Linked DNA regions of Saccharomyces cerevisiae S288C. Each later gene encodes a partner of the first gene's protein in a complex. Each region holds a gene or a part of one and is shown in the gene's direction. Other genes may lie near its edges. The genes, in order: RRP45, SKI6, RRP6 and RRP40.

Region 1 (4,182 bases):
TCTGATGCTTGCAATATAACAATTCATCTCGTGACATTAACCATAAGAATTACTCTCATCATTGCTATATCGGCAAGGTTTAATATGTCCAGTCGGAGTGTATTTTATATCTCTTTCTTTTAGAATAAGAATATCTGCTTTTATTCTTAATCAATACTACAACCTAACTACTAACTATCAACACTGTTAATTACGATTCGCTCCAACAAATTTGGTTTTGTGGATTCTTAAATTCTCGAGAAAAACTTCTAATATATCTTGTATACCAGATACTGTAGCCTTTAGCAACGATAGAATACGAACAGTTCTCTTAAAATTCGCCTATTTCTCATACCGTTGCAGATATAACTAAAGTATTGACATTCAGTGACATCTGGCGCTGATATCATTATTTAACACACGTATGTTTGCGTGGCATTGTCATTTTTAAGAGCAGAGAAAGAAACAATGAGCTACTTGAGTGTGACAAGTTGAAAAGTCCACCAATTTCACGTTGAATTAGGATTCATATATGAAATTCTAGTCATTAATTAGAATTGTAAGTTTCTGAGCTTTTTTTTCCTAGTAAATTAAACTTGTCTAATACATCCAGTTGTGATGTATTCTATATCTCAGTTCTACAGTAGCACGAAGTTTCCCGGCCTCTCTATTCAATAAATTCAGCTATCGCTGATTATCAACAGCAGCAACGAATAAAGCATAAAAGAACAGAAAAATTCTTCTACAAATTTATTCTGTAAAGATTCAGCTTCTTTCGTGAATTTCTAAGTTCATGAGGGGAATTTAAGTATGGCGTTTCTTCGTAGCGCCATTGTCTTGAGCCAAAATGGAACTCTAAAAATTTTCACGACATTTTACTAGTCAGTAAAGTGAGCATATACATATAAGAAGAAATTTCAAAAGGTAAAAAATGGAGCAACTTCCAGCTCATTATCTTTTCAATGTTGTCGATGCCATAGTTGGATTATGAAATCTCATATTCATAACCACAACGCGTTTTTTTCCTTTTAAGGCACTACAGACTCCATTCTCACAAGTTTGTCAAAAGCACGAGCGCGATGAGAATTAAAGTCAGATCTGGTTAATGATTCTGGTACAACAGCAGAAACAAATCGAGTACAAATTTAATCTTATTCTGTCGCAATAGTTGACTTTCTTTTCTGGCCTCTCGAACAAAAAGCATGACCGTTTCCAACATTGGGGGGGAAGAACGACTAATAATTTTACCAGACGATTATGAAACTTCGAAAACTATAAACACTTTTACACTGCCGCCACCTTCCAATATTACATCCAAACCTCGTATCGAGCTCTTCGAAAATATTAATGGAAAACTTTACGAAATAAGATCTTTTCAATTCGGCAAAGGGCCCTCGTATTCACATGAGGAAGATTTGGCAAATGATAAATATCACTATACTAAGGAAAATCACCCGATCAAATCAACTTTCATTGTAAATACGTCTGATCCCACCGATGGTTATGTTTTTAACTCAAGCAAAATACACTTTTGTTCTTTATACGATATTGCTTTTAGTTTGATTGGATTTTACTATAGAAACAGTGTTTCAGCAGATGAACAAGATTACTCCAATTCAAGTGATACTGGTGAAAACCAAAAAAGCAACAGCAAAACCAATGAGAAATTTCTTACGGTGCGTGATTACCATGATTTCTTAACGGATAACCATGACAAGAATTGGGAAAACATTTCTTTAAGTCGTCTCAAGAGTGGCTTAGCAAAAGTTAGTGAAACCATTGAGGAAGCTGGTGACGTCTATTACAAGATCACATCTGCAATGATAACACAATTTTTGTTAGGCAAGGTATCAAAAATTGTAGAAAACTTTCCTCCAAGTATCCCTACACTTAAAAATGCCCCAACGGAAATAAAACAGTGCTACAAGGTAGTTATGGCTACAAATCTTTTAGTTTCCCTGATTCCAAGGGCGGCCTACCATAATTTACTTACCTTTTCACCTACAATGGATAGTGGTTGCCTAAATCCGGATATAAAAGCTAGCTTCATAGAACTCGAAAACTACGAGACTACGAACGAATTACAGAATGCTGAAAGAGAATTACTGATGAAAAGTGCCATGAATGTAGGCCTAAATTCGAATGGCAGGGTTTCATTGCCAGTGAAAAAAGTTACCAAAAAAATAGTTCAAAATAAAAAACCAAAAGTAGCCATAGGAAAAGGGGCCATTGATGGATTTTTTAAACGTAAGTAGCTAGTATCATAATTAAACAGCAATTTGAATGCTATAACTCGGTGGTGATGACCTCAGTGCGAGATAATTACACAATATTGTCACTACCAACGAATGGGCTACCTTTTTTTTCCTTTCTCGAATTCAAGAAAAAATTAACAACTTTTCCCTCGATGATGTTAACAAATGTCTGAATATAAAGGAATAGGAAACGGTTGCTAGATTGTATTTACCTTACCAACTTTCAAGTTTTTTTTCTAACTTCCTAACTTTCAGTCTCGATACATTAATCAACAGGACGTAGTGATTGCAAAATTGTTCAGAATATACATTAGATTAAAAGACAAATGGCCAAAGACATTGAGATATCCGCATCCGAGTCAAAATTTATCTTAGAAGCACTGAGACAGAATTATAGGTTGGACGGCCGCTCCTTTGATCAATTTCGTGACGTGGAAATAACGTTTGGTAAAGAATTTGGTGATGTTAGCGTAAAAATGGGCAACACCAAAGTTCACTGCAGGATTAGTTGTCAAATAGCACAACCATACGAAGACAGGCCATTTGAAGGATTATTTGTAATATCTACAGAAATATCTCCTATGGCTGGTTCTCAATTTGAAAATGGAAATATCACGGGGGAAGATGAAGTTTTATGTTCAAGAATAATTGAAAAATCTGTTAGGCGGTCGGGCGCATTGGACGTGGAAGGACTATGTATCGTTGCTGGCAGTAAATGCTGGGCTGTGAGAGCTGATGTACATTTCCTGGATTGTGATGGTGGATTTATTGACGCTTCGTGTATTGCCGTCATGGCAGGATTGATGCATTTTAAGAAACCAGATATAACTGTCCATGGCGAGCAGATCATTGTTCATCCTGTTAATGAAAGAGAGCCAGTTCCACTAGGTATACTGCATATTCCAATATGTGTAACTTTTTCTTTCTTCAATCCTCAAGACACCGAGGAAAACATAAAAGGTGAGACTAACTCAGAAATTTCCATCATTGATGCAACATTGAAAGAGGAACTACTGCGAGATGGTGTATTGACGGTTACGCTAAACAAAAACCGTGAAGTGGTACAAGTTTCCAAAGCGGGTGGTTTACCAATGGATGCGTTGACGCTAATGAAATGTTGTCACGAGGCTTACAGCATTATTGAGAAAATAACTGATCAAATACTGCAGCTTTTAAAGGAGGATTCAGAAAAGAGAAACAAGTATGCAGCCATGCTTACATCTGAAAATGCCCGCGAGATCTAATATTAACGAAAAAACTGAAATAAAAGCAACGCTTATACATATACATGCATGCATTAATATATGTATATATATCGGTACGTATAGATTGTAAAATTACACTTACTACTAAAGGCAGTATGAAAGACGCCCGCAGTTTTTTTCCTACTGTTTTCTTGACTGCGGTGTTCAAAAACATAAAAATCATTAAATTACTATAAAACAAACGCATACTGCGAAGAAAAAAGGCTCGGCTATAAATGCATATGAGAAAATATTATCTTTTGCCTCCCTGCTTAATTTCTGAAGGCATGTACTATCCAAAAGAAAAATCTTGAAAGAAAACAAATCCCATTATTCTTATTATTAAAACAAAAACTTCGTCATCGTCATCACATAAAAAAGACCTACCATTGTCAAACTGTACAACAGCAACACAATAATAATGACGATGATGAGTTCCTCGAGAAACCCTAGAACGGCGTTATAACACTGTTTGAGGGTATTACTTTTTCCACTACTCTCGTGGCGCGGAAGACCTGCTTCCAAATCTACTGTGTAATCAATACACTTAACCTCCTCTCTCTCCCCTTGTGCGTCAGAAAACTCTGCCTGTCTTATTTCCTTCTCCTGTTGTCCTATTTTCAGTACATCATCGATGCACCTCGAGGTATCTTCCATCTTGGTGTCAGGTTGAAAAACAATTGCTGTCGTTTTTTTTTAGTTCA
Region 2 (3,868 bases), on another chromosome or scaffold:
TTCTACAATATTTTTGGCATCGTGCCTCTTGTCTTTGAACTTGGCCACCTCTCTTTCAATCATACCCGTTTTTGGATTGAAGATAACCCTTTTGTTTATGGCTTTTACGCTAGGAACGATCTCCCCCAGAGGAAAATATACACCTAATTCATTTTCACTACTTTCTGAGTCATCTAGCACAGCTTGATTAAAAAGAGTCCAATCGTTAGTCTTCTCATAATTATTTTCCCGTTCTTTGTTTAACTCGTCTCTTATCCTCTCCCTTGCCAAAGAACCATTACAATAACAAATCATACCCATATAATGGTTTGGCAGAGTTGGATGAATGAAAAGATGATAGTTCGGAGAGGGGTGATACTTATCGGTGACCAGAAGAACTGTAGTACTTGTTCCTAGGGAAACGAGAACGTCATTCTTCCGCAGGGGTAAAGAACATATAGTGGCTAAATTATCCCCAGTCATGGGAGAGACCTTGCAGTTTGTATTGAAACCGTACTTCTCAATAAAATATTTACAGATGGTACCCGCTATCAAATTTTTCATGGGTGCTCTCATTAATTTTTGTCTGATAGTTTTATCCTTAGAAGAACTATCAATTAGATGTAGTAGCTCATCACTGAATTTTCTTTCACGTATATCATAAAGGTTCATACCACAGGCATCTGCCTCCTCTAATTCAACAAGATGGCCCACTAAGATAGAAGTCAAAAAATTAGACACTAAAGAAATGGTCTTTGTTTTTTCGTAAGCTTCTGGTTCTAATTGTGCAATTTTCAGAATTTGAGGACCAGTAAATCTAAAATGGGCTCTGGACCCTGTTAATTGAGCCATTTTTTCAGGCCCACCTATGCACTCTTCAAACTCTTGACATTGCTTTGCAGTACTGTGGTCTTGCCAATTGGGGGCGGTTTGCCTTGCAAATGCTACAGAGCTCACGTAGTGCAATAAATCTTTTTCCGGTTTCTTATTCAATTGCTCTAACAGAGATTCGGCTTGGGAGGACCAGTAGACAGACCCGTGCTGCTGGCAGGACCCTGAGACGGCCATAACTTTGTTCAATGGAAATTTAGCCTCGCGATATTTCGAGAGAACCAGATCTAGAGCCTCTAACCACATGGCTACGGGACATTCGATAGTGTCGCCGTGTATATAGACACCCTTCTTTGTGTGATAATGCGGAAGATCCTTTTCAAATTCCACTGTTTCTGAATGGACAATTTTTAGGTCCTGGTTAATGGCGAGACATTTCAGTTGTTGGGTCGAAAGATCAAACCCAAGATAGTATGAGTCTAAAGACATTGTGTTGGAAACCTCTCTTGTCTGTCTCTGAATTACTGAACACAACATTAAAGTACTAATCTCATCCTCCTTTTGTTTTTCTCGAGAGGGCCCCCTTATTCGTCCGCCTGAGATTGCATTGGCCGAATTGAAAAGTGACAGTTATGCACCTCAGCGGCTATTCCCTGCGTCGCTTGCTGAAGATTGAGGATTATAGGAAGTAGTAAGCTGGAAATGGTAATTTGTAAAAAGAAAATTTCTAATACTGTGACAATGTTATTAAATCGGGGTTGTTTTTGTTTGGGGCGGCCAGCGGAATAATTTGTTTTCAAGGACAGCAGAAGCTCAGAAGAACAAAATCTCCGTGATCTTTTAAACTTTTTTCCATTCTGATGGAATAATGGTCTTGATCCCCTAAATATTTCCTTTTTTATTGCAATTATGATAGAAATTAATAGTAGTCTATGCTGGATGATATATATATCTCTTTTGAGCTTGCTTCAAATTTTTTCCCGTTATAATGATGAGTGTTTTGCTTATTAAGGGTCTAGGACATTTCTATCAGTTTCTATACCAAAAGAAGAAAAAGTGGAGAATTGTTTGTTTATTTTAATATTTTGTTCTTTAGTTTTAAAAATTCAGAAGAGAAAAAAATTTTATTTGTCACAAGGAAATAAAACATAAACAAAAAAGAAAAATTAAGATTTGCAATTCTGCCGCTTAAGCAAAAGTAGATCATTCACTGGAATATATATATATAAACGCATTTATAATCTTGTAACGTGCACTCAATTTAGCTACGAAAGCCAACCAGCAAGGAACCTTTTATTTGAGTAGGTACATTTACATCTTCGGGTAACGCGGTGAAATTGAAAAATTTTAAGGCATTAATAATTGAAAAGCTAGAAGAAATGGATGAATGAATGACATTGCGAACCATTGTGCAATGAACATCATCCAAAAGAAAACATCATTTACACATATTTTCTTTCCAGGGTCCCACTGGTAAAATCTATTAACATATAAAAAGATTTACAAAAAAACTTTAGTGCCATAACTACAGCAGGATCATCATATGTCAAGACTAGAAATATACTCGCCAGAAGGGCTACGTCTCGATGGACGTCGATGGAATGAACTCCGCCGTTTTGAAAGTTCCATCAACACACATCCGCACGCTGCAGACGGTTCATCCTACATGGAACAAGGTAACAACAAAATTATCACTCTTGTTAAAGGTCCAAAAGAGCCAAGATTGAAATCTCAAATGGATACCTCAAAGGCTTTATTGAACGTATCGGTAAACATTACAAAATTCTCCAAATTCGAAAGAAGTAAATCAAGCCACAAGAATGAAAGGCGTGTTCTTGAGATACAAACCTCCCTGGTGAGGATGTTTGAGAAGAATGTCATGCTGAATATCTACCCCAGAACAGTTATCGATATCGAGATCCATGTCCTTGAGCAAGATGGCGGTATTATGGGATCTTTAATCAACGGTATTACCCTCGCTTTAATAGATGCCGGTATATCAATGTTCGATTACATAAGTGGTATATCCGTCGGGCTGTACGATACTACCCCATTATTAGATACCAATTCATTAGAAGAAAATGCTATGAGTACAGTGACACTAGGTGTGGTAGGGAAGTCAGAAAAACTTTCTCTTTTATTGGTGGAAGACAAAATTCCGTTAGATAGGTTAGAGAACGTTCTTGCCATCGGCATCGCAGGTGCTCATAGGGTAAGAGATTTGATGGATGAAGAACTGAGGAAACATGCTCAGAAAAGAGTCAGTAACGCCTCTGCTAGGTAGAATAAAAAACGCCATTAATTGCCACTGTTTATATAAAAGTACATAAAAAACAGTAAAATTGAAAATTGAACGCATTTACATTTTCGTGTTTCTACCGTAAAGCAAAACGCTTACAGTTTTTTCTTACCTATTGATGCGAATAAATCCTTTGGTTTCATAGAATGCTGGAAAACTTTTCTCCTTAAGTGCGTTACATTTTGGTTGACACTAGCAACCGTGTTAATGACAGTATGCTTCTTACTCAAATCGTCCGCGTTCGCATATGCTTCCCTAACGTGACTATGCTGCTTATACTCCTCAGCTATGAAATCCTTATCCTTATTAGAGGATGATTTTAGCGTATAATTTATCCATGTTTGTATCCCCGTATCATATTCATCTAGCTCACGCTTATAATTTCTCAACTGTTCTATCTTACCGGCGTGCGAAGTCTTACTGTTCAGTAGTTTATTCATATCTAATTTCGGTAAGTTATTCTGCTGCCCCAATTTCGCCATTTCTTCAGTACTGGGTTCATGGACGCTTGTCATTTCGCCTTGAGATACTGTTCTGTTTTCACTTTTGAAAGATGCACTGCGCGCTGCCAAATCATTGGCAGTATTGTTACTATTATCATTATCTGTTGTACTATTATCGTTTCCTGCATTTAATTGTTCCTGTGCGTCCATCGGTAGAGGTGGCAAATTCGATTGGTTACCAATCAAACCGGGAACATTATAAATCGTATTGTTGTCGTATATAGTCTTAGTGTCCCTGATTGTCTCCAAATCGTCA
Region 3 (5,360 bases), on another chromosome or scaffold:
TATGGTATTCTTTAAAATATTTAACATGCTATCGAGTTTTTCTTTCTAAAATGCGGTTTCAAAATTTGAGTCCGCTTTCTATGGAAAATATGAATGAGGCGAACGTGCTTGTACCATAGTCAGATTTTAACCCGTAGGTGAGAGCCTGAGGCTTCTGTAAACCACCTTGGAAACACATACGGGTTATAAGATTTTAACAAACAATCAGTCTCCATACTCATCCTAGGATCTCTTCTTCATTTGATGAATAAAGGATTCAAACTTCAGAAAGTTATTCAGCGTATATTGGCTTTCCTTTAATCTAATGCCCCAAGCCATCATAAATAGCCATATTACTTTGAAAGTGCTCATCCGTATACACTGCAACTTTTCTTCTTTTCTCTTTAGCCGATTATAGCTCCTACCTGTTTTTTTTTTCTTCTTAAGATTATTTATATTCCAATTTTATCATCCGTATTGTTTCCAATAGCGTTCCAGTGATCAGTTATATACTTCGAGAGGCAGATAACCTTTCTTTTTATAAGTGTTTATCAAATTTAAGTCTGCAAGCTATCATAAGACGAGGATATCCTTTGGAGACTCATAGAAATCATGGAAAGCACATCAGGAGAACGTTCCGAAAATATACATGAGGATCAAGGGATACCAAAAGTAATTCTGCCCGCTGATTTTAATAAATGCTCTAGAACTGACCTAGTGGTGCTCATATCACGAATGTTAGTATCGCTGATAGCAATCAATGAAAATTCAGCAACAAAGAAATCTGATGACCAAATTACTTTAACACGATACCATTCTAAGATTCCTCCAAACATATCAATCTTCAACTATTTCATACGACTGACAAAGTTTTCCTCTTTAGAACATTGTGTGCTTATGACATCACTCTATTATATCGATTTATTGCAAACTGTGTATCCTGATTTTACGCTTAATTCGTTGACTGCCCATAGGTTTTTATTAACAGCCACCACAGTCGCAACAAAAGGCTTATGTGATTCGTTCTCAACAAACGCCCATTATGCAAAAGTTGGAGGAGTACGATGTCACGAATTGAATATACTGGAGAACGATTTTTTAAAGAGAGTAAACTACAGAATCATTCCGCGGGATCATAACATTACGTTATGTAGTATAGAGCAAAAACAGAAAAAGTTTGTCATAGATAAAAACGCATTAGGGTCTCTCGATTTGGATTCTTATTCTTACGTTAATCGTCCAAAAAGTGGATATAATGTTCTAGATAAATACTATCGAAGAATAGTTCAGCTGGTGGGTTCCTTTAACGCTTCACCTGATAAGAGTAGAAAGGTTGATTATGTTCTCCCGCCAAATATTGATATAGTGAGTGAAAGTGGCTCCCAAACTACTCAACTAAAGGGGTCGTCATCACCCAATTCTCACTCTTCACAAAAGCGATATTCTGAGGCAAAGGACGCACATATCTATAACAAGCGATCAAAGCCAGATTAATGATTTTTCGTGGGGTATTATGAAAGCAATCATGATTGAGCAAAATTAAAACTTTCCATTTGTACATATATATATATATATATATATATATCTGTGTGTGTATAATAAGCAATTGGCCATCATTTGGCTAAAAAGTTCAAGATTTCAGGTAGTATATAAGAGAATAACTTCCCTCTTTTGCTAAAGAAGGATATGTTCTATTTCAGCCTTTTTGCATCATAAGAGCATAAGCGACAGAAAACACTTCGAGATGAGCTTGAGAACTCCATTTCAATTAACTTGATAAATACATGTAGATTCATATCATCACTGTTCTTTTCAGATACTAGTTTCAAAACTTCCTTGACAGAACCATTTCATGTTCAATAATGAAAATTACTTTCACATGTTTTAGTGGAAAAATACTGAACAATGAAATTTCAATATCGCATATAATAATTTTTGTTATCAAATATATATTTTTCGGAAGTCATATACATTAAATAATTAAAACATTATTTTTAAAAATTAAAAAAATATATTTTAGCAAATAGTTTTTACTTTTTTTTAAATGCAAAATAAGTTCACGTGATATTATTAATAATATTTTACCCAAAAATATGAGGGCATCGGAAAATTTTTCAGTAATGAATATTAATGTTCATCTGAAGATAGACGAAATAGGAACAACAAACAGCTTATAAGCACCCAATAAGTGCGTTATGACTTCTGAAAATCCGGATGTACTTTTATCTAGGGTGATAAATGTGGTGAGAGCAGCATCATCGTTAGCCAGTCAAGATGTAGACTTTTACAAGAATTTAGACAGGGGATTTAGTAAAGATCTGAAATCAAAAGCAGACAAACTTGCGGATATGGCGAATGAAATAATCCTCTCTATTGATGAGCATCATGAATCATTTGAACTTAAAGAAGAGGACATTTCTGACTTGTGGAACAACTTTGGAAACATCATGGATAATTTGTTAGAAATGTCAGACCATTCGCTGGATAAGCTGAATTGTGCAATAAACTCAAAGTCAAGAGGTTCCGATCTTCAGTATTTAGGCGAATTTTCAGGAAAGAATTTTTCTCCCACCAAAAGAGTCGAAAAACCTCAGTTGAAATTTAAAAGTCCAATTGATAACAGCGAAAGTCATCCGTTCATACCTTTATTGAAGGAAAAACCAAATGCTTTGAAGCCACTCTCTGAGAGTTTGAGGTTGGTTGATGATGATGAAAATAACCCCAGTCACTACCCCCATCCTTATGAATATGAGATTGATCATCAAGAGTATAGTCCAGAAATTCTCCAAATTAGAGAGGAGATTCCCTCAAAATCCTGGGATGATTCGGTACCAATTTGGGTAGATACAAGTACAGAACTCGAATCAATGTTGGAGGACTTGAAAAATACGAAAGAGATTGCCGTTGATCTTGAGCATCACGATTATAGGTCATACTATGGTATTGTTTGCCTCATGCAAATTAGTACAAGGGAAAGGGATTATTTAGTTGATACTCTAAAACTTCGCGAAAATTTACATATTCTGAACGAAGTGTTTACGAACCCTTCAATTGTGAAAGTTTTTCACGGTGCATTCATGGATATTATTTGGCTTCAGCGAGATTTAGGTTTGTATGTCGTTGGTCTCTTCGATACTTACCATGCGTCTAAAGCAATCGGTCTTCCTAGACATAGTTTGGCCTATCTTTTGGAGAATTTTGCCAATTTTAAAACTTCAAAGAAATATCAGTTGGCTGACTGGCGTATAAGACCGCTTTCAAAACCCATGACGGCATATGCTAGAGCAGATACTCACTTTTTACTAAATATATATGACCAGTTGAGAAACAAACTTATCGAGTCTAATAAGTTAGCAGGTGTTCTTTATGAATCAAGAAATGTCGCAAAAAGAAGGTTTGAATATTCAAAGTACAGACCACTGACACCTTCTTCAGAAGTTTATTCTCCAATCGAAAAAGAGAGTCCTTGGAAAATATTGATGTATCAGTACAACATACCACCTGAGAGGGAAGTATTAGTAAGAGAGCTATACCAATGGAGAGATCTTATTGCAAGAAGAGACGATGAATCGCCACGATTTGTTATGCCAAACCAGTTATTGGCTGCACTTGTCGCATATACACCTACTGATGTCATAGGTGTTGTTTCTTTGACCAATGGCGTAACTGAACATGTCCGCCAGAATGCAAAACTATTAGCTAATTTGATAAGAGATGCATTACGAAACATCAAGAACACCAATGAGGAAGCTACTCCCATTCCATCTTCCGAGACCAAAGCAGACGGAATATTGTTGGAGACTATAAGTGTTCCTCAAATCCGTGATGTTATGGAAAGGTTTTCGGTGTTGTGCAACAGCAATATTTCCAAGAGCCGAGCCAAGCCTGTCACTAATTCTTCTATTCTGTTGGGTAAGATTTTACCACGTGAGGAGCATGATATTGCATATAGCAAAGACGGCTTGCCAAATAAAGTGAAGACGGAAGATATCAGGATCCGAGCACAAAATTTCAAGTCTGCCTTAGCAAACTTGGAGGATATCATATTCGAAATAGAGAAACCTCTCGTTGTTCCTGTCAAGCTAGAGGAGATTAAGACAGTAGACCCTGCGAGCGCACCTAATCACTCGCCTGAGATTGATAATCTTGATGATCTTGTTGTTTTAAAGAAGAAAAACATTCAAAAGAAACAACCAGCAAAGGAAAAAGGTGTAACGGAAAAAGATGCTGTGGATTATTCAAAAATTCCGAATATCTTATCTAATAAGCCTGGCCAAAATAATAGACAACAAAAGAAAAGGAGATTCGACCCATCATCTAGCGATAGTAATGGACCAAGGGCAGCTAAAAAGAGGAGGCCTGCCGCCAAAGGTAAGAATCTGTCATTTAAAAGGTGATTATGTAAAACAAGCGTATTTTTTTATTTATAAATTATGGTAATTTTCATTTAAGACCTCTAAATTCATCTAATCGAATATCTGTGTCATGGAGTTATGGCTCCCCCATGCACACCATTTTCTCTTTTTTTGTTTCTGTGTTTCCCTTCATCTCCTTTATTATGAAAAGTACAAGTTTTATATAATTTCAACGTCGGAGGTTATCCGGAAATCTATAGTTGAATTTTTGCAGGATTATACTTCGCTCGAATATTGTGCGTGTTAAATACTCAGCGAGAACAATACTTCCAAGTTAGAAAAGGGATTTGCTCATGTTAAAGCAATGGCACTCCGAATGGACGGTGTCAGGAATTCTTTTCTTCACATCAGGCTTCGCATAGAAAATGGCCATTGGCAAAAGGTTACTGGTGAACAAACCAGCAGAAGAATCATTTTATGCTTCTCCAATGTATGATTTTTTGTATCCGTTTAGGCCAGTGGGGAACCAATGGCTGCCAGAATATATTATCTTTGTATGTGCTGTAATACTGAGGTGCACAATTGGACTTGGTCCATATTCTGGGAAAGGCAGTCCACCGCTGTACGGCGATTTTGAGGCTCAGAGACATTGGATGGAAATTACGCAACATTTACCGCTTTCTAAGTGGTACTGGTATGATTTGCAATACTGGGGATTGGACTATCCACCATTAACAGCATTTCATTCGTACCTTCTGGGCCTAATTGGATCTTTTTTCAATCCATCTTGGTTTGCACTAGAAAAGTCACGTGGCTTTGAATCCCCCGATAATGGCCTGAAAACATATATGCGTTCTACTGTCATCATTAGCGACATATTGTTTTACTTTCCTGCAGTAATATACTTTACTAAGTGGCTTGGTAGATATCGAAACCAGTCGCCCATAGGACAATCTATTGCGGCATCAGCGATTTTGTTCCAACCTTCATTAATGCTCATTGACCATGGGCACTTTCAATATAATT
Region 4 (3,782 bases), on another chromosome or scaffold:
GATGAGCTAAAATGTCAATGTCAGTCAATTAACAAAGTATACAATAGGCCCATATCATTTTAGATTGTACCTGAAGTGAGAACTAGGTAATATACGACGATGGATAGTGTAATTCAAAAAAGAATTTTTGTCGGAAATATTTTCCATAATGCAGATGATTGTTATTCAGAACTACTAGATCGATTTGGAAAATTTGGTGATTGCCAAGATTTTCAGTTTGAAAAACACAACCACTTTGCATTTATCGATATAAGGTTTAATGATGAGGCAGATTTTAACAAGCTAAGAAAGAGCTTTAATAATGTTAAGTTTAAAGGGAACATTTTGAAGGTTGATGAAGCAAAGCCGAATTGGGAAAGCACCTGGGCGGTACAACATGCAAAGGACCTTAAAGAAGATATTATACTAAATGCTAAAATGAAAAAAAAGAATTGGCAACATTATAAGAAAATGGAAAATGTAGCGAAAAGTTGGAAAGATCATAAGGAAGTTATTGCTGGCAGAATGAGGGAGGCGCCGAGAAAAAGGAGTCAATTGAGGAACATTACATTCAGGATCAATGTCAATGGTTCATTGAAAGTTTACAAATGCTATAAGACTAAATTATGGGGTTATGAAAGGAACAAAGAATTGAATGACCTTGTGTACAAGTTTACAAATAATTTCTGGAAAAACGGATACAACCACATTGTCGATAGATTGGATTACAGTCGTGCTGTTAAAACTGTTCGATTCAAAAATGGGCTGAAACAGTTAACAGTGTCAAAAGATGAAAACGTTTGCAGTGGAGAGATGGACAGCGATGAGAATATGTCAGAAGAGGAGAAGGAGAAAAATAATGTTATTCTTAATGACCTATTAAAGGACTTTGACTTCGATAAGCCAATGACGTTGAATGATTCGGACGAGGAACTTCTGACAGAGCAACGTAAAGGAGAGGAAGAAGAAGAAGAAGAAGAAGAAAAAGAAGTAAACGCTCCCGAATACGAGAATGTTAATAAGACGAAGGACCAGAGCACCCTACCACAAGAAAAACCAGAGGAAAGGAAAGAACAGGACGAGGGCGACGGGCAGGAGGATAATGAATTTATTCCGACTTTCACCAAGGAAATTGGTCAAGGTACAATAAGCAACACTGAGACGTTAAGAAACCTATTCAACCCCAACGAGGCAGAACCTGTATCACAATTCAAATTGATTGAAGATTCTGATAATGATATTGATCATGCGAAAGATGTTGATGTGAACCAACTGGAGGAAGAAGTAAGTAAATCATCTGACACCCTAGGTTTGACATCGGCTCCCGTACCACATGTATCTAGAGATAAAGATAACAAAAATTTCTTGTTTTTCCCTCATTTGCAATCGCCATTTTTAGTAGGACAAACACAGTTGAGTAAAGTAAGGGCTCCTGGAAGAGAAACAATGCTATCGAACTGGGATGAGGAGTTCTGGGCTAACAGAGGTAATTGGACCCGTGATATGAGGCGCAAAATGAAAGATGCATTGAAGCACCGTAAGAGGAAACAATCAAAGAGCGGGCTTCTTCTATAGTGAGTATATATACATATATAGTATAGATTTCTCTGCGCTTATTCAAAAAGCATTTTTACCGAACTTAACAGCCATTTCCACTGCTGCAGCACCCCAATCTTCACCATGGTTGTGCATGGAGTGCGCTTCATCGATGCCAGCTCTGGCCAGGGCTTGTTCTTCAGTCATGCAAGTTAAGAGGCCAAAAATGACGGGCATGTCGACTTTTTCTTGTAAGTTCATCAATGCGTGAGTGGTGGAATCTGAAATGTATTCAAAGTGCATTGTACTACCTTTGATAAGTACACCAATAGGAATTACAACATCTAGCGGCTTTCCCAACTTCGCTTGTCTGTCAACAAACCTTTTTGTCCCCCAAGGTAATTCATAGGATCCAGGAACAGTTTCAATTATTATGTTATTTTCCTCGACACCAAGGGAAGCCATTCTTTCAATAGCACCTTTCACAAGAGCGTCAATAATGACACGGTTCCAACGGGCATGAATGATACCGACCCTGATTTTGGAACCGTCATAAACTTGATCTGGTTTGCCTAATCCTTTAACTGCCATACTGCGTTATACTGCGTTATACTGCGTTATACTGCGTTATACTGTTCCTTTTCATGCTTTTGAACCCACTCTCTGGGGCAATATTTCATTGTTCTCTTTTATATGGCTACTTTTCTCTTATTAACGGGGACCTCCGAAAATATCTCCGCTCCCAGAATATGTCATAGAGCCTTAAGAATTGACCTACGGGAACCTCCGAAAACCTCCCAGAGTTTTAATTATACGTCATAGAACCCCAGACCTCTTCGATGAAGTTTCGTGGAAACTAGTTCCATCCACCTCACTTAAAGTTACCTTAATGAAAGCCATCATTGTTTACTAGTAAGGGTAGTGGTGTGACCCGGACCTGATCGGCTGAAATTTTTTGGTTTAGAGAAGCATATTAAACCAACAGCACAAACGGATGCTTCAGCAGCTCATCTCCAGCATTTCGACTAACCAAGAGCATACAAGATGTCTACGTTCATATTCCCTGGTGATAGCTTTCCTGTAGACCCTACTACACCTGTTAAACTGGGCCCTGGCATATATTGTGACCCCAATACTCAAGAAATACGACCTGTTAATACAGGTGTTTTGCATGTTTCCGCTAAGGGTAAGAGTGGTGTTCAGACCGCATATATAGACTATTCTAGTAAGAGATACATTCCATCTGTAAACGATTTTGTAATCGGTGTCATTATAGGGACATTTTCAGATAGCTATAAGGTTTCGTTGCAAAATTTCTCCTCCAGTGTTTCACTATCGTATATGGCTTTTCCCAATGCTTCAAAGAAAAACAGGCCAACTTTGCAAGTGGGAGATCTAGTGTATGCGAGAGTTTGTACCGCAGAAAAGGAACTAGAAGCCGAAATAGAATGTTTTGACTCAACTACAGGACGCGATGCTGGTTTCGGGATATTGGAAGATGGTATGATCATTGACGTGAATTTGAATTTCGCACGCCAGTTGCTTTTCAATAATGACTTCCCGTTATTAAAAGTGTTGGCTGCACATACCAAGTTTGAAGTCGCCATTGGTCTCAATGGGAAGATCTGGGTTAAGTGCGAGGAATTATCTAACACTTTAGCTTGTTATAGAACCATAATGGAGTGTTGTCAAAAAAACGACACGGCAGCGTTCAAGGATATAGCAAAAAGACAGTTTAAAGAAATACTTACGGTCAAGGAGGAGTAGACTACCATGTATAATTAAAATATATAAACACATAGATATCATCAATATTTCACGTCCTTTTTTAATGTCCTTTGAAAAAGCGAAGGAAAAAAAGTTTCATCTCATCTCATCTCATCACATCTAACATATGGCCATAAAATTTCGACAACTATAGTGCACATATCTAATACGATGAAGAATCTGACCACTATAAAGCAAACGAACAAGAATGTCAAACAAGAAAGACGTAAAAAGTACGCTGATTTGGCGATTCAAGGCACAAATAACTCCTCAATTGCTTCTAAAAGATCGGTAGAGTTATTGTATTTGCCAAAACTGAGTTCGGCTAATAATTTCCAAATGGATAAGAATAATAAACTGTTGGAATATTTTAAATTCTTTGTTCCTAAGAAAATTAAAAGATCTCCCTGTATTAACAGAGGTTATTGGTTGAGGTTATTTGCCATCAGGTCAAGATTGAACTCCATCATTGAACAAACGCCACAGGATAAAAAGATAGT

Evidence for each region.
Region 2: the proteins of RRP45 (region 1) and SKI6 are in contact, whole or in part, in a crystal structure (PDB 5OKZ), measured with the Saccharomyces cerevisiae proteins. Residues at the interface, in NP_010566.1 of Saccharomyces cerevisiae: Thr97 (codon at 2,849), Glu99 (codon at 2,855), Asp100 (codon at 2,858), Val102 (codon at 2,864), Leu103 (codon at 2,867), Ser105 (codon at 2,873), Arg106 (codon at 2,876), Glu109 (codon at 2,885), Lys110 (codon at 2,888), Arg114 (codon at 2,900), Ser115 (codon at 2,903), His191 (codon at 3,131), Thr206 (codon at 3,176), Glu207 (codon at 3,179), Asn209 (codon at 3,185), Ile210 (codon at 3,188), Lys211 (codon at 3,191), Asn215 (codon at 3,203), Glu217 (codon at 3,209), Asp232 (codon at 3,254), Leu239 (codon at 3,275), Arg243 (codon at 3,287), Glu244 (codon at 3,290), Val245 (codon at 3,293), Val246 (codon at 3,296), Gln247 (codon at 3,299), Val248 (codon at 3,302), Ser249 (codon at 3,305), Lys250 (codon at 3,308), Ala251 (codon at 3,311); in NP_011711.3 of Saccharomyces cerevisiae: Arg95 (codon at 2,636), Arg96 (codon at 2,639), Leu98 (codon at 2,645), Glu99 (codon at 2,648), Thr102 (codon at 2,657), Ser103 (codon at 2,660), Val105 (codon at 2,666), Arg106 (codon at 2,669), Met107 (codon at 2,672), Lys110 (codon at 2,681), Phe155 (codon at 2,816), Asp156 (codon at 2,819), Val190 (codon at 2,921), Glu194 (codon at 2,933), Lys195 (codon at 2,936), Leu196 (codon at 2,939), Ser197 (codon at 2,942), Leu198 (codon at 2,945), Leu199 (codon at 2,948), Leu200 (codon at 2,951), Val201 (codon at 2,954), Glu202 (codon at 2,957), Asp203 (codon at 2,960), Lys204 (codon at 2,963), Ile205 (codon at 2,966), Pro206 (codon at 2,969), Leu207 (codon at 2,972), Asp208 (codon at 2,975), Leu210 (codon at 2,981), Glu211 (codon at 2,984).
Region 3: RRP45 (region 1) and RRP6 share a complex: the UniProt entries of both Saccharomyces cerevisiae proteins name them as parts of the RNA exosome complex.
Region 4: the proteins of RRP45 (region 1) and RRP40 are in contact, whole or in part, in a crystal structure (PDB 5OKZ), measured with the Saccharomyces cerevisiae proteins. Residues at the interface, in NP_010566.1 of Saccharomyces cerevisiae: Lys3 (codon at 2,567), Asp4 (codon at 2,570), Ile5 (codon at 2,573), Glu6 (codon at 2,576), Ser8 (codon at 2,582), Ala9 (codon at 2,585), Ser10 (codon at 2,588), Glu11 (codon at 2,591), Phe14 (codon at 2,600), Ile15 (codon at 2,603), Glu17 (codon at 2,609), Ala18 (codon at 2,612), Gln21 (codon at 2,621), Tyr23 (codon at 2,627), Arg24 (codon at 2,630), Leu25 (codon at 2,633), Gly27 (codon at 2,639), Ser89 (codon at 2,825), Gln90 (codon at 2,828), Lys226 (codon at 3,236); in NP_014499.2 of Saccharomyces cerevisiae: Val75 (codon at 2,782), Ile77 (codon at 2,788), Ser87 (codon at 2,818), Asn90 (codon at 2,827), Phe91 (codon at 2,830), Gly116 (codon at 2,905), Leu118 (codon at 2,911), Leu150 (codon at 3,007), Glu151 (codon at 3,010), Asp152 (codon at 3,013), Gly153 (codon at 3,016), Met154 (codon at 3,019), Ile155 (codon at 3,022), Asp157 (codon at 3,028), Leu201 (codon at 3,160), Ser202 (codon at 3,163), Thr204 (codon at 3,169), Leu205 (codon at 3,172), Tyr208 (codon at 3,181), Arg209 (codon at 3,184), Ile234 (codon at 3,259).

What each region holds. Positions count from the first base shown.
Region 1 is NC_001136.10:1,018,187-1,022,368, forward strand, and holds RRP45 (exosome non-catalytic core subunit RRP45), read left to right. Parts: upstream 1-2,560; coding exon 2,561-3,478; downstream 3,479-4,182. Other genes in the region: RNH202 (Rnh202p), read left to right, coding at 1,182-2,234; PHM6 (Phm6p), read right to left, coding at 3,821-4,135. UniProt on the Saccharomyces cerevisiae protein: Non-catalytic component of the RNA exosome complex which has 3'->5' exoribonuclease activity and participates in a multitude of cellular RNA processing and degradation events.
Region 2 is NC_001139.9:886,529-890,396, forward strand, and holds SKI6 (exosome non-catalytic core subunit SKI6), read left to right. Parts: upstream 1-2,353; coding exon 2,354-3,094; downstream 3,095-3,868. Other genes in the region: XKS1 (xylulokinase), read right to left, coding at 1-1,347; FYV8 (Fyv8p), read right to left, coding at 3,205-3,868. UniProt on the Saccharomyces cerevisiae protein: Non-catalytic component of the RNA exosome complex which has 3'->5' exoribonuclease activity and participates in a multitude of cellular RNA processing and degradation events.
Region 3 is NC_001147.6:324,658-330,017, forward strand, and holds RRP6 (exosome nuclease subunit RRP6), read left to right. Parts: upstream 1-2,174; coding exon 2,175-4,376; downstream 4,377-5,360. Other genes in the region: PHO80 (Pho80p), read left to right, coding at 592-1,473; ALG6 (dolichyl-P-Glc:Man(9)GlcNAc(2)-PP-dolichol alpha-1,3-glucosyltransferase), read left to right, coding at 4,760-5,360. UniProt on the Saccharomyces cerevisiae protein: Nuclear-specific catalytic component of the RNA exosome complex which has 3'->5' exoribonuclease activity and participates in a multitude of cellular RNA processing and degradation events.
Region 4 is NC_001147.6:52,999-56,780, forward strand, and holds RRP40 (exosome non-catalytic core subunit RRP40), read left to right. Parts: upstream 1-2,559; coding exon 2,560-3,282; downstream 3,283-3,782. Other genes in the region: NOP8 (Nop8p), read left to right, coding at 100-1,554; lumazine synthase RIB4, read right to left, coding at 1,597-2,106; tRNA methyltransferase PPM2, read left to right, coding at 3,454-3,782. UniProt on the Saccharomyces cerevisiae protein: Non-catalytic component of the RNA exosome complex which has 3'->5' exoribonuclease activity and participates in a multitude of cellular RNA processing and degradation events.